Linked DNA regions of Mus musculus: region 2 is reported to be linked to region 1. The links are microRNA targets in miRTarBase. Many come from high-throughput screens and were not tested one by one. Region 1 holds a microRNA gene; the other region holds the end of a gene's coding sequence.

Region 1 (3,225 bases):
GTAATCTCTAGAGTTAGTTGATTTAGTTGTTTCTGGTTAGAGATTGTTCCTCTCGTGATTCTGTTACCCTCTATCAGCAGACCTGGGAGACTATCTCTCTCCTCTGAGTTTCAGTGGTCAGAGCACTCTCTGCAGGCAAGGTCTCCTCTTACAGGGAAGGTGCACAGAGATCTGGCGTTCGGACCTCCCTCCTGGCTAAAGATGAATGCCCAAAACAGGATCTGTCCCAGAAGCTGTGTGCTTCGGCCTGTCACAGAAGCTGTTACCCTCTGTAGTCCACACTCTCACCTGTGCAGAATACTCTCAGAGGAGTCCCGGAACCAAGATGTCTGCAGCCGATGCTCAGGCAAAGCCCTCCCGGGCCAGGTGTACACCTATCCTCTGGCCGGCAAGGTGCACGGATGTCTGGAGCCCTAAAAGGGTCTGCCTCAGAAGCTCTGTGGCTCCCTCCTGTCCCAGAAGCTGTTAGCTTCTGTAGTCCACACTCTCACCTTGCAGAATACTCTCGGCGGAGTCCCGGAACCAAGATGTCTCAGCAGGTGTCTTAATTTAGATTTTATTGCTGTAAAGAGATTCCATGGACAAGACAACTTTTATCAAGGCAAATATTTCATTGAGGCTAGCGTACAGTTTTTGAGATTTAGTTCATTATCATCATGGTGGAAAGAATGACATCTTGCAGGAAGACATGATACTGGAGGCGCCGAGAGTTCTACATCTTCATTTGAAGCAGCAGAAAGAGACTCTGATTCCACACTGGGCAGAGCCTGAGCATAGGATACCTCAAAGCCCACCTACACAATGACCCACTTCCTCCATCAAGGCCACACCTGCTCCAATAAGGCCATACCTCTTAATAGTACTGTCTTAGTCAGGGTTTCTAGTCCTGTACAAACATCATGACCAGGAAGCAAGTTGGGGAGGAAAGGGTTTATTCGGCTTACACTTCCACATTGCTGTTCATCACCAAGGAAGTCAGGACTGGAACTCAAGCAGGTCAGAAAGCAGAAGCTGATGCAGAGGCCATGGAGGGATGTTCCTTACTGACTTGCTTCCCCTGGCTTGCTCAGCCTGCTCTCTTATAGAACCCAAGACTACCAGCCCAGAGATTGTCCCACCCACAAGGGGCCTTTTCCCCTTTATCACTAATTGGGAAAATGCCTTACAGTTGGATCTCATGGAGGCATTTCTTCAATTGCAGCTCCTTTCTCTGTGATAACTCCAGCTGTGTCAAGTTGACACAAAACTAGCCAGTACAAGTACCATCTGCTATGGCCAAACATTAAAACACAGGAATCTGGTGGTAGGGGGACAGACATTCAAAGCACCACAGCAGATAAAGACACTTGCTACCAAGCCTGCATTCAATCCCTGGGACCCACATGGTGGAAAGAAAAGAAAAAAACCCTGCCAATTGTTCTCTGACCATACATGTTTACTGTGGCTTCTGTATGCCCACACATATACACAGTAAATAATATTAAAAATTCAATGTTCATTAGTTTTCCACTATGGTTATATCAGATTTTTTACTTCAACCTTCACTGGAAACTTGGAACAGTGCAGTTTTCCTGCCTCTTTAGTCCTATGTAATATGGTGTGATTTCTCAGTCCTTATATTGTCTTTAATACTGTGAATTTGGAATGGAAGGAATGCTTGTTTCCTTGTTAATCCCTTAATTTTTATTTTCTGATGCTTTTATCATGACTTGATTCAGTGTGATCCAGACTTACGATTTTAATGGTATGGCTTTTAAAAGCACATCACATGAGGAGATCTTGTTGATTTGTGTCATCTGTAATGGTAGTTAACTGGTCAGTTAAGACAGTGAGCACAGTTCTCTCCCCAAAGTTATTTTTGTCTTCTTAATCAGTAAATATATGGACAGATACTTTGAAAGCATCTGTATCTCTGACCTTCACTAAACTTTAATTTACTAGTTTATCATCCTTTAACTCTTGTTTGGACGAATTGTTAGTCTGGGATTTTAGTAGTGTAGGTTTGTAGTTGTGTTCTGTACTTAGCAGTTGGCAGTTTAGAAAGACTATCTGGAGCTTAGACAAGGGATTCATCAAAGAGTTACGCATAACCATTTAAGCTGTTTGAACTGAGGCCTTCTGAAGTTTGCATATAGTGGACTGAAGGGATGGCTGTGATTTGTGGGCGTGTTTCTGTAGTTCTATATTTGATGATGATTTTTCTTTACGTTTGCATTAGTGCAGTTTTAAAAGTGACAGTTTTTTTCTCTATCCTGGTTACCTCCCAAATTAATGAATTAGAGACTATAAGATTTAATCAAACTTGTGGCACAATAGCCGAGCAGTATTAATATACTTGAATCTTCTAAACTAATCTGGCTACCTCCCAGCCCAAATCCTCAAGATGCAAGTGCATTTTAGTATCTGTCTGCTCCGGATGTGTTCCCATGGTGTCCTCTGGGCTCTCCTTGTGGTGAATCCTTCTTTCTCTTTCTCCCTGTCTCCTGGCTGGGATCAGAAGTCTGGCCCTGTTCTTTTTTTCTGCTCAGCCATTGGCTGATGAGCTTTTATTGACAATTCAGAGAATAAATGGGGAGCAGTGTTTATAGGATGCCATGTCCAGATTGCAACAGATAATTGGGTTGGAGTAGGGGATGGGGGTGATCAGCATTTAATAATCTTTACACAGTGCATAGTAACATCATACCTACCCATCTATTTGCTTGATTGTTTACTCTGTGTGTGTGTGTGTGTGCCTGCGTGCACACATGTGTGCTTTCGTGTATGCCTGCCTGTGCTGCACAGCATGCATGTGGAGGTCAGAGGACTTCCTGTGGGAGCTTATTCTCTCTTACGACATTGGTTCTGAGGGTTAAACTGGCCAGTGAGGCTTGGCAACAAATGTCTTTACCTGCTAATCCATCTGTTTGACACCGTAATGATCATTTCTCAAAAATGTTTTGTTTTCTTTTTGGAAAATACATGTGATATCAAGTTCATTGTTTGATAATTTCAAATATACTCACTGTTGTTAAGTACATTCACAGTGTAGGACCATCACTATGAGTCATGTTCCAGAACTTTTGTCATCTCAGATGAAATGATGAAAGTTTATTTTAATAACTGAAGAATCAGCAAAGCAATCTGTCCCTCAGCCCCTGCACACATGCTCAGCCAAAACACAATTTCTACCTTCTGTTTGAATATGTTTCTCTACTCTGCACACCTCAAATAAATAGTATCACG
Region 2 (3,000 bases), not on the chromosome of region 1:
CTCCTTCTACCTCACATTCTTAGCATTGTACCTCTTCCTGCTTACTAGACAGTTGTGAATTTATCTACTCAAAGTATCTGCTGTAAGCCATCAAATCTGTGTGTGAAGATGGAAGATCTTGGGATGTTAACTTTTAAATTTTAAATTCAATTATAGGCTACACCCCAGCTTTGGCCTGTGCTCCCAATAAGGATGTGGCTGACTGCCTGGCTCTCATTTTGGCCACCATGATGCCTGTCTCGTCAAGTAGCCCATTGACATCCCTGACATTCAATGCCATTAACCGTTATACCAACACCTCAAAAACAGTTAGCTTTGAAGCCTTGCCTATCATGAGGAATGAAGCCAGCTCCTACTGCAGTTTTAACAACATTGGTGGCGAGCAGGAGTACTTGTACACCGACGTGGATGAGCTCAACGACTCTGACTCCGAGACCTACTGAAAGGCCGAGTGAGCTGCAGCTCTAAGGAAGTTCTGACACTGAAACTTCAAATCGGGCTTTTTCGGGAAAAAGGCACTTTCTTATCATACACAGATTCAACCTGAAGAAAGATCATGCAGTGAACGAATGGAAGAAACATGATGACATTAGGAAGAAGAGTCTTAAAGGCAAGTTTTGCAAAAGGAACTTCTAGAATCTTAATAATGACTTGACCAGTGGAAAACACAGTGATGTCGATTGCTTTGTGGGATCGTTTAATTGGCTTTGCAGTGCCAGAAATTGGGACACTGCTCCCTGACCTGCTTACATGGGCAACACTGCTGTAAAGAAAGAGATCAAAACACTAGATTAAATTTTACCCATAAAATTACAGCTAAATTTTAATGCAATAAAAGTTTGGTATAATAGGCATTATGTACACATCAAATTGCCAAGGACCAAATAACATACAGATTTTTTTATTAGAACTCCATTTTGTGGAAACGGAAATAGATGAAATGAGAAGTCGTCTAAAGCAAACTTCAGTGCTTCTGAAAGTGAGGCCAGATTCGGTTTGGTGTTGGTTTTTATAAGAAAGCATCTACTGTATTAAGCCATGAGAGGAAGCAGATGTATTTTTACATTTTTTAATATAAAAGTTTTTAAATTCCACTTTTTATAGACTTCAGAACCAGTTAACTGGGTGCAGCGTGGTTGAAAGTACTAGAGACAGACGCAGATGAAGTCAGGGCTGTTGCCCACGATTGAGTGGTTTGCTTTTAAATTGAATTGTTTTTGTTTAAGGAATTCCATAGAGGAAATTTTTAATGAATTTAAAAAACAGACTATTTCACCTCTTGTAATGCAGCGGTCCTGGAGAAGGGACATCTGAGCCTCTCTGTGCGCGGCACACCTGCATCACGTTAGTTACTTTGGGACCTCTACCTTTTTTGGCTGGAGGAATTCTATTGTCATTTATTTTAATCTTTGAACTTTAAAAACAAGAATCAAAATTTTAAAAAGTTTGAAGACTCTTGTTATGAAACATTGTCGAAAGCTGGTTGTGAATTCTATACAAACTGGGATTGTAAATGTTTTATGTAAAAGAAAATACTTAAAAATGTACCTGCTTCCTCTCCTGCGTCCTCACAGCACTGGAAGGTTCTTGAATGCATCCTTTCCTTTGTTGTTGTTGTTGTTGTTGTAGTCGTTTGTTGTTTTAAGACAGGGCTCTCTATGTGTAGCCCTGGCTGTACTAGAGTTTGCTTTGTAGACCAGGCTGGCCTCGATCTCACAGAGATTCACCTGTCTCAGCTTCCTAAGTGCTGGGATTAAAGGTGTGCACCACCACTGCCTGGCTTCAGATGTTTTCTTTATAAAAATCAACATCAAACCATTTGGCTTCCTTCTCAGAAGCATTGGAGTTTGCTTTAGATGATGACTCATAACATAAACAGAATCAGGTCATTTGGAAGGCATTTCTGTACTGGGCAAGATTTAAAATACTTCAGGCTTTAGGTCCTCCTGAGATCTAGAGTAGCGGGTGTGCAGCTTCTTACTGTCAGAGCTTGCCTGCCAAATTGAAGACTGCCTTTCAGGTAACAGAGAAGAGGCTGACAGTAGGCTAATTTTAAATTACACTTTTCTGTGGTTCTTTTATTGTAACTGTCACTTTCCCAGTAACAATGATTTTACATTGGGGGGAGGGGTCTTACTAGAGCTGGGTAAAGTTCCATACATTGCAACAAAATGATACCCAATTCCATCTTACCCTTTTTGTATTGTGAAACTGGAACTTTATGACATTGTAAATTATCAGCTGGTTTTTCTGAATATAAAGTGTGAAAACACAGAACAGTATTTTGATCTATTTGATAATTTTGTGGGTTTTTTGAAGAATTAATGAGCATGTACATAGAAATAGTGACTGCTTGAATCCTGTATTTACTTGCACTCTTTCAGTACATCAAGATTCCTGTATATTTTAGAGTATAATAAAACACAGACGTGAGCTGTATTTAATGAATAATGTATTTGTATCTGTGCATATTACTTAAAAATCTATAAAGTTTCTAGGGCATTGACTACTAGATTTTAAGCATTTTTCTAAAATATTTGCAAAATTATAAATATAATCTCCATCTTTTCTTTATAATATAAAGGAGTCGTAATGAACCCTTCGTAATTAATAGTGGGAGAAGGGTAAATATGCATTTTAAAAGACCGTAGACTACATTTCTATTGTACCTTTTAAAAAAGAAAACTCAAGAGGATTCTAAAAGTATACCATATGTGTGCTTTCTCTTTCCTTTTAGGAATTCTCTTCTGAATTCCCTGAGGGAATTTTCTAGAATCTCAGAATTGAAAGAGACCTGAGGTCCATCCAGTCTAACCTCTTAAATGCAGGAGTCCCTTCTCCAAGGTTGTCTTTCCACCTTGAACACTTCCAGTGACTACCTCACGAGCAGTCCATTCATTGTTGAGCAGCTCTGTTAGGAAGGTCTCCTTAATGGAGCTGAAGCCTCCCTCCTGGTAACTTCTGTCCTTGGGCCCAGCTCTGTCCTCCAAGGGAATGCTG

What was found. The annotated mature microRNA mmu-miR-3471 reads UGAGAUCCAACUGUAAGGCAUU and lies in region 1 at 1,157-1,178, opposite strand. An mRNA with a match to its seed (bases 2 to 7 or 8) in the 3' UTR can be bound and repressed. Matches are read on the target gene's strand: a 7mer-m8 pairs with bases 2 to 8, a 7mer-A1 pairs with bases 2 to 7 and ends in A, and an 8mer does both.
Region 2: the mRNA of Ankrd28 is a reported target of mmu-miR-3471. Seed matches in the 3' UTR shown: 7mer-A1 at 1,710-1,716.

What each region holds. Positions count from the first base shown.
Region 1 is chr4:3,535,056-3,538,280 of GRCm38, reverse strand. Mir3471-2 (microRNA 3471-2) reads right to left here and starts at 1,191; the gene lies at 1,090-1,191.
Region 2 is chr14:31,699,463-31,702,462 of GRCm38, reverse strand. It overlaps Ankrd28 (ankyrin repeat domain 28), which reads left to right. Exons shown (of 28, transcript NM_001024604.2): 28 at 157-2,448. The coding sequence ends at 443. Among named protein-coding and RNA genes, the nearest start is that of Btd, 60 kb to the right of the region's middle.